2 linked regions of the Saccharomyces cerevisiae S288C genome follow. The protein of the gene in region 1 interacts with the protein of each later gene in a biochemical or structural test. Each region holds a gene or a part of one and is shown in the gene's direction. Other genes may lie near its edges. The genes, in order: RSA1 and BCD1.

What was found.
Region 2: the proteins of RSA1 (region 1) and BCD1 form a complex in vitro, tested with the Saccharomyces cerevisiae proteins (one study listed by BioGRID).

What each region holds. Positions count from the first base shown.
Region 1 is NC_001148.4:176,672-183,055, forward strand, and holds RSA1 (Rsa1p), read left to right. Parts: upstream 1-4,731; coding exon 4,732-5,877; downstream 5,878-6,384. Other genes in the region: APL5 (Apl5p), read left to right, coding at 1-2,350; DDC1 (Ddc1p), read left to right, coding at 2,606-4,444; pheromone-regulated protein PRM3, read right to left, coding at 5,984-6,384. UniProt on the Saccharomyces cerevisiae protein: Involved in a late nucleoplasmic step of 60S ribosomal subunit assembly.
Region 2 is NC_001140.6:186,387-189,524, forward strand, and holds BCD1 (Bcd1p), read left to right. Parts: upstream 1-1,537; coding exon 1,538-2,638; downstream 2,639-3,138. Other genes in the region: MSC7 (meiotic recombination directing protein), read right to left, coding at 1-423; VMA10 (H(+)-transporting V1 sector ATPase subunit G), read right to left, coding at 787-1,128, 1,291-1,293; SRB2 (Srb2p), read right to left, coding at 2,745-3,138. UniProt on the Saccharomyces cerevisiae protein: Required for box C/D snoRNAs accumulation involved in snoRNA processing, snoRNA transport to the nucleolus and ribosome biogenesis.

The sequences.
Region 1 (6,384 bases):
TTCCACTATAATTACACCCTCATTAGCAAGAGATATAGCTGATGATTTGTTCACTATGCTAAACAGCACAAGACCGTACATAAGAAAGAAGGCCATTACCGCACTATTTAAAGTTTTTCTGCAATATCCAGAGGCTTTGAGAGATAATTTTGATAAGTTTGTTTCAAAGCTAGACGATGATGATATATCTGTGGTTTCTGCCGCTGTCAGTGTTATTTGCGAGCTATCAAAAAAAAACCCCCAACCATTCATCCAGCTTTCACCTTTATTATACGAGATATTAGTTACCATTGACAATAACTGGATAATCATTAGATTATTGAAGTTATTCACCAACTTATCACAAGTGGAACCGAAATTGAGAGCCAAGTTATTGCCGAAAATTTTAGAACTGATGGAGAGTACTGTTGCAACTTCTGTGATCTATGAATCTGTCAACTGTATTGTCAAGGGGAATATGCTAGAAGAAGATGATTTTGAAACAGCAATGGCATGCCTGGAAAGATTGCACACATTTTGTGATTCTCAGGATCCAAATTTGAGATATATTAGCTGCATATTGTTTTACAAGATCGGCAAAATCAATACTGATTTTATTTCTCGGTTCGACCAACTGATTATACGCTTACTCTCCGATGTCGACGTTTCTATAAGATCAAAAGCAATTGAATTGGTTGAAGGTATTGTTGATGAGGATAACTTAAAGGCAATTGTCCAAACATTGATGAAGCAATTTGTAGATGAAGATGTGGTTATCCTACAAACTGGAAGCATCGTATACGAAAAATCAAAGAGAATTCCCATAATAATTCCAGAAAATTACAAGATAAAAATGGTGAACGTCATTATATCGATTTGTTCAGCTGACAACTATTCCAGTGTTAACGACTTTGAATGGTACAATGCAGTAATAATGGACTTGGCGATGCTCTGTCAAGACATATCTGATAAAAGCCTTGGATCAAAAATTGGTGAACAGTTTAGGAATTTGATGATAAAAGTTCCTTCAATGAGAGAAGTAACCATTGCTAATATTATAAAGCTTATTTCAAATGACAATATTAACAAACAGTTGCCTACCGTATTGAGAGAATGCATTTGGTGTCTCGGAGAATTTTCTACCCTAGTTGAAAATGGTAACGACTTAATAAAAATCATGACTGAGAATATCAGTTATTATTCTCATAGTGTACAAGAAGTTTTAATTTTAGCACTTGTTAAAGTATTTAGTAATTGGTGTAATAACTTTCAGGAGGATAAACGCTTTGAAATTAAAATGGTGTTAAAAGAGCTAATTGAATTTTTTGAAAATTTATCTTATTCGAGTACATTCGAAGTCCAGGAAAGAAGCGTAGAAGTTTTAGAATTTTTAAGACTAAGTTTGGAGGCTTTAGAGGAGGATACGGAAGGTCTACCAATGCTACTGAGCGAAGTCCTGCCTAGTTTTTTTAACGCCTATGAACTCGCACCAATTGCGCGTGGGACTCAATTGAAGTTAGCAGTAGATGAGAATCTTGATCTAGAAACTCCATTTTTGACAAAGGAGGCAGCTGATGAACTCTTAGATGAACAAAAAAGTGACGCCATCAGTGATTTAATGTCTGATATCTCAATGGACGAGCAAGTTGAACTAAAATTCGTTGATGATTCTGATACTTCGTATGAAGAAAAGGAAAAATTGGATGATTTTGAAAATCCATTTGAGATTGAGAGAGAAAAGGAACGGATGTCAAATCCTTATTATCTAGGTGAAGAAGACGAAGAAAGAACTAAGAACTCTAAAGATTTGTTGGACTTGAATGAGGAGGAAAGTAGTGATAAAAAGCCAGAAACTATTAGATTAAATAGAACCGATAATTCGTTGAATTCTCTAAGTTTATCTACAACTGAAATCAGCAGAAAGAAGAAGAAGGGAAAGAAGAAAAATAGGGTTCAAGTCTTATCCGATGAACCTGTTATCGAAGCCGCTCCCAAAAGGAAAGATGCATTCCAGAAACCCCATGATAATCATTCAACTCAAAATCCTTTGAAAAAGGACAAGATTAATCTGAGAATGCACTCTCAACTTGAAAATTTTGATTTTTCCAATTTTGGGCAATCGAGTAACGCAGGAAGAGGATCGCAGGAAGAGGGCAACCTTAGAAAGGAAGACGAGTTAGAATTAAGTCGTTTAGAGGCCAATCTTATTGTAAAAGATGAAAAGGATAATTTAAGTGATACTGAAGAAGTTATAGTTATAAAAAAGAAGAAGAAAGGGAAAAAGTCAAAGTCAAAAAACAAACTAAAAACGAAAGCAAAAAATTCTCCAGAACCAAATGAATTTCTTCGAGACCAAAGCACTGACATTTAACGATAAAAAAATCGAAGTCGTGAATTCTCAATGACAGCGATTACGTACGTAAACTATAATTAATTTAAGTATTTTATTCTGCATAGTATATTATTGCGGTGCACTCAATTTGCCGAAAGAGACGGCATATTTAATAATGACGCGAATGAATCAAAGGCCGCCAAAGGTAATCATAGACCAGAGATGATTTGCAAAATTATTTGACATACTATTGCTAGTGTAACAATAACACAGCATAACTTTGCTTAGACATATATGTCATTTAAGGCAACTATCACCGAGTCGGGGAAGCAGAATATCTGGTTTCGTGCGATATATGTGTTATCTACAATTCAGGATGATATCAAGATTACAGTGACAACAAATGAGTTAATTGCTTGGTCAATGAACGAGACAGATACTACTCTTTGTCAGGTTAGGTTTCAGAAAAGCTTTTTTGAGGAGTATGAGTTTAAACCACATGAGATTGTATTTGGAGAAAATGGGGTTCAAGTTATAGAAGATACGTACGGCAATAGTCATAAGTTATACTCCTTCCGTGTTAATGGAAGACACCTAACAACTATATCAAGAAAGCCGGATGGTGATGGCATCAAATCATTCACAATTGCGGTAAACAACACTTCTACCTGTCCTGAATCACTTGCAAATAGATTGATTGTGGTGATTGAAATGGATTCGTTAATAGTCAAAGAATACTGTCCCCAATTCCAGCCAATAAAATACGATCCCATAATAATCAACCTTAAGTACAAAAGGAGGTTTTTGGATGTTTTTGGAACTGCTGCCTCCGATCGGAATCCACAGGAGCCCTTGGACCCTAAGCTATTGGACGTTTTTACAAATACAGAGCGTGAGCTAACATCAGCCTTATTTAACGAAGAAGTGGAATCAGACATACGTAAAAGGAATCAGTTAACGGCTGCTGATGAGATTAATTACATTTGTTGTAATTCAACTTTATTGAAGAATTTTTTAGACAACTGCAATGTTAATGTAACCGATGAAGTAAAATTGGAAATTAACGTACATAGGCTAAGCATAACTGCATTCACCAAGGCCGTCTACGGCAAAAATAACGACCTTTTAAGAAATGCGTTAAGCATGAGTAACACTATCAGTACGCTCGATCTTGAGCATTATTGCTTATTTACAACAATCGAAGATGAAAAACAAGATAAGCGATCACATAGTAAGCGTAGAGAGCATATGAAAAGTATAATATTCAAATTGAAGGACTTCAAAAACTTCATAACGATAGGTCCATCCTGGAAGACTACCCAGGACGGAAATGATAATATAAGTTTATGGTTTTGCCACCCAGGGGACCCTATTCTTATGCAAATGCAAAAACCGGGCGTAAAATTAGAATTGGTTGAAGTTACTGACAGTAACATTAACGATGATATTTTAGAAGGAAAATTCATAAAAACAGCAATCTCTGGCTCCAAAGAAGAGGCCGGACTGAAAGACAACAAAGAAAGCTGCGAAAGTCCATTAAAAAGCAAAACTGCTTTAAAGAGAGAAAACCTGCCACACTCTGTGGCTGGAACTCGAAACAGTCCTTTGAAAGTGTCGTATCTGACCCCTGATAATGGAAGCACAGTTGCTAAGACCTATAGAAATAACACGGCAAGAAAATTATTCGTGGAAGAACAAAGCCAAAGTACGAATTACGAACAAGATAAGCGGTTCCGGCAGGCTAGTTCAGTTCATATGAACATGAATCGGGAACAAAGTTTTGACATTGGTACGACTCATGAAGTGGCCTGTCCACGTAATGAGAGCAATTCTTTAAAAAGATCCATAGCAGATATTTGTAATGAAACTGAAGACCCCACCCAACAATCTACATTTGCAAAAAGGGCAGACACCACTGTGACATGGGGAAAAGCGTTACCAGCTGCAGATGATGAGGTTTCATGCAGCAATATCGATAGAAAAGGAATGCTCAAGAAAGAAAAATTGAAGCATATGCAAGGTCTGTTGAATTCCCAGAATGACACAAGTAATCACAAGAAACAGGACAATAAAGAGATGGAAGATGGGCTGGGTCTAACACAAGTAGAAAAGCCAAGGGGTATATTTGACTAAAACCATAATGCAAAATCAGTATAAAGGCGTGTAAATATTAGATGAAGTAGCAATTATCATGATAATATCGATCGCTGTTTTTTTTTTTTTTTCTGTCTCAATTTGGTGAGCGTGCGGCTGATGGTCCATCACGGTCGGGGAACAAACTAAAATTTTCAATAGCATAATATCTCTATATTGCATAGCTTTTTACTTAATAGGAACTTAAAAATTTCATTGATGCTATTATATTTAACTCATAAGTCAATCTCTTTTTCCATTTTGATTAGCTTATTGCGACATGGACTATGAATTATAATAACTTTGAAAATTCGAAGGGTGATGGACATTCTAGGCTTCCCAAACCTACATACTCCGGAACGCTATCAGATGGCTATGATGAATCGAAAATTAAAAGGCAAAAAACAGACTCTGCTTTTAATGCAGCTTACTCACCTCATATGTATCCGAACTCTCCGTATTATGAAGGTTCATGGAATACCGGTTATACTCCTCAACTTCATCATGTAGCCCCTCATAATCAATATTTCCATCCAATACAACCGTCCACTCAGTACAATTATACGAGTCCTCCCAATTATACAGAAAATTACATACCGCCAGTTCATCAGAATATATCTTATGCACCAGCGCTTAATTTACAGAAGTGGCCATCATCATATTGTGAAAACACTCAAGCCTTAAAGAATGATAAAGATTACCAAACATCAATTAGTTATGAAGATGTTGCAATACCGACCGTAAAGGAAATACAATTGATTGAGAAAAACAGAGGGAAAGATACGTTTATGAATGAAATAAGTCCAGTACCATCAAGCAAGGATCAAGCATCTGCGGAGCCTACAGAAATCCCAAGAAAGGATCCCGAGCTGGCAAATTCTAATGCCGAAGATGATCATAATAACTTAGGGCTAGAAGATGATGATCGTGATGAGCAGTTAGAATCAGAGGGGTTGGGTAAGGTGGTTTTGGTTCCTGGAACCTCCATAGCATTGATTACTGATGAAGATGTTAAAAAGTGGAGAGAAGAAAGAAAAAAAATGTGGCTACTGAAAATATCCAATAACAAACAGAAACATATGCAAGAAATGGGCATAAAGGAAGATGAACTGAAGAGCCAACCTAGCATTTTCAAAGAGTCAAGGAAAGAAAAGCAATTTATACAGAGTATTCAAAATCAAGTGCAGAGAGGAAATCCGAAGATTGACTTGAACTTGAAATTGATACAGCGAGAATTCGCAAACGAAAACTCCCAACTTTTGGACTTTATAAGAGAATTGGGAGATGTAGGATTACTTGAATATGAGCTATCTCAACAAGAAAAAGATGTACTTTTTGGGAGCTCTGAAGATAATAATAAAAATCATTACAAACCAAATTACAAAAACAGGAAACCTAATCTGAGTAGAGCCAACTTTACTAGAAATAAGTAATAGAATAGCAAATATTGATATACATGGAAGAGTACATGCAAAGGTGCGTAAAAAAAAATAAGTCAGATAAAACTAATTACTGTTTAGAAATCATGAGTATATGAAACTAATTTTGAAGAGCTTTAACTGCTAGGTTACTTAAAACAGTAGTTACAGCAGCACCAAGGAACGAACCGAAAATGGCACCTTGGTAAAATGAACCCTTATTCTCTCTCTGTACTTTACTTTCAGAAGCGTCTTTTTTCTTACTTTTCGTTCGTGATTTTGTGGAAGATGTTGTCGTTTTGTGCTTCCTGACTCTACCAGGCGACACAGCCTTCTTAATGTGTTGTTCATTATTAACTAATGACTTTTTATTAAGCGGTCCACCGTTTTTGGCTTTATTTATAACGAACCCATCAGCAGAGTTTGAACTTGCATCTGTCAGTTTATGCACTCTAAGTTTTTCTTGGTCGTTGTTTTTCTTCAGTGTAATCAATGCAGCGTTGTCTTCTTTCATTGCTGTCA
Region 2 (3,138 bases), on another chromosome or scaffold:
TGCCTTAGAAACCATTTCATCTATGTCAGCTTCCGTTTTCGATGGAAAAGAACCTAGATATTGACCTGTGGCGGGACAATGACATTGAATAAAGTTTGGTTCTTCAGGATTCCATATGTTAGTGGAAACAGACCTCTTGCCCTTCCAATTATTTTGAGCGGCCTCTGGTGCAGGAAGGGAGAATTTGACTGGCTTATAGGACGAGGAACACTTTGCTGGGGTGGAGATTATCTTGACCAAAACATACAGAGTGAAAATTGAGGCAACTAGCGTTGTAATGCCTATCAGTTTTTGGTTATCTTGAATAATTTGGGGTTGAGAACGCATTATTGCGTTTTGCTTCTCCAACCATAAGTTAAAGTAAGCTTGAACTGTGGAGTTCAAATGGTTAATCATGTCTGAATTCAGATAGACCTTGGACATGATGAATAAACGTTCGATAAAACAGAGGAGAAACTGAACGTGAACTGTGAAAAGAATTCTACTATTCTGCAAATACTATTATAATTATATAGTAATCCCCATCGGCGTTTAGTATTTTTCGTTAATAAAATAAAAATAGAGAGACCATACTTTCTCCTTTACAACCGATATACTAAATAACACATTTTTGATTATACTACTACTCGTTTAGCAGATAGAGAAAAAAAAAAAAAAAAAAAAAAGGCTGAATGGATAAAGCGAGAGTCGTAAAGACCGAATGCAATGTCAGTTTATACATTTTTATTCTATTGGTATTATATTATAAAAAGATATATGATTAGAAAACTAGAATGTAATGCAATATTACAAGGCATTGATATGGACTTCAGCAGAAGGCTTGATGACAGTCTCGATCAAAATTTTGACAACGTCATCCTTTTTCTTCTCTGCAATTTTCTTAATCTCAGCTAATTCACCTTGCACACCAGCCTCTGCTTTCTTTTCCAATTCACCAACACCACCGGCATTCTTTTGTTCAAACTCCTTCAATTCCTTGTCTTTTTGAATTTTGTATGAGTCGATTTCCTTGGCTGCATCAGTCTTGGCTTGCTTCAACTTATCTTGTCTGTACTTTCTAGCCTTTGATACTATTTCGTGGGCTTCCTTTTCAGCTTGTAGTAGGGTGGCAATTCCGTTTTTTTGGGACTAAAGAGAATATTACATAGTTCTGAGCAACAATGAAAAAACCAATACCTTTGTCACGAGGTACCAGTCCAACAAGAGAGCACAGTTTTAAAAAAGTTTTTCATGTTAGTAAGAACGCTTGTTAGAGACAGAAGTGTTGACACGTAATGTAATGGCACATACCATTCTGCTTTGTATACCTTGCACACTTTGGAGATTGCAGGAAAAAAAAAAATGTATTGTTTAAGGTGTGATTGCTTTATCTATCACGCTCCCTTTTAGAGATGAAATTTTTGATACCCAAGGCAGGGTAACAAATTGAAAAAAAAAAAAATTCGCGGTAATAATAGTGGATGTCAAAGTTCATATTCGATGAGATGAGCTGGAATAGGAGTCCAGTTAATAGGGAAGGGTGTGGCAATTTGCAAGTATGGCGGTGTTGTGTGGTGTATGCGGAATAAAAGAGTTCAAATACAAGTGTCCAAGATGTTTGGTGCAAACTTGCTCTTTGGAGTGTTCCAAGAAGCACAAGACAAGGGACAATTGCTCAGGTCAAACACATGATCCTAAGGAGTATATATCGAGTGAGGCGTTGAAACAGGCGGACGACGACAAGCACGAACGAAATGCTTATGTCCAGAGGGACTACAACTATCTGACGCAGTTGAAGCGAATGGTGCATGTACAAAAGATGGATGCTAGAATGAAGAACAAGCGGGTTCTGGGGCCTGTGGGCGGCCACAACTCTAATTTCAAGAAGAGAAGATACGATATAGATGAGGATGATCGTGATAGCACGGAGTGTCAGAGGATAATTAGGAGGGGGGTGAACTGTTTGATGCTACCCAAGGGGATGCAGCGATCATCGCAAAACAGGAGCAAGTGGGACAAAACGATGGACCTATTTGTATGGAGCGTGGAGTGGATTCTATGTCCTATGCAGGAAAAGGGTGAGAAAAAGGAGCTTTTCAAACATGTCAGCCACCGTATCAAAGAGACAGACTTTTTGGTGCAAGGGATGGGCAAGAACGTTTTCCAAAAATGCTGTGAATTCTATCGCTTGGCTGGAACAAGCTCTTGCATAGAGGGCGAAGACGGTTCGGAGACCAAAGAGGAAAGAACACAGATCCTACAGAAGAGTGGGCTCAAATTCTACACGAAAACGTTCCCTTACAACACCACGCATATAATGGATTCAAAAAAACTGGTGGAGTTGGCTATACATGAGAAATGCATCGGAGAATTGTTGAAGAACACCACAGTGATCGAGTTTCCCACGATATTCGTTGCCATGACAGAGGCTGACCTACCAGAGGGCTACGAGGTGCTACACCAGGAACCCCGCCCACTTGAGCATACGAGTACACTGAACAAGTTTATTGACAATGCAAGGGAGGAGGAAGACGCTGAAGAGGACTCTCAACCGACAGAAGAACCTGTACAGAAGGAAACACAGGACGCCAGCGACAGCGACAGCGACAGCGACGATGACTACAATCCGGGCTTATCCATGGATTTCCTCACTGCATGAGCCGAGATACATAAGGTTGAAGATTACTATTTAGACTATCTATCTATACGTATACACCGCAATATACAAACAGAAAAAAAAAAAAAGAAAAAGCATTCGTAAGAACTCACAGCTCCAGAGCACGAACATACTGGTACGCCAAATCACATATTTCGTTGCTGGTGTCCGGCCCCAACGAGTCGGATGAGGTTTTGTACTCCTTGGCCCGGATTTCAGCTAGGTGTCCTTCGATGCCTGCAATCTTGGTCTCAAACTCGCCCGCTTCGTCCGCCTGCAGTTCTATCAGGAGACCCTTGAACCCAGTGGAGGAGAAGAGGTTGACGAGTCGCACGGTGAGCCCGTCCAAGATCAACGTCTCACCGGCATCACCCTTGATGAGCTGCCTCTGCATCCAGATGTTGGACAGCTTGGACGACAAAATAGTGTCTATGGACTCAGGAACGCCCGTAGATGAGCCATTGAACACCAGCGCCGGAGGGATATCCGCCGCTGCGGCAGTC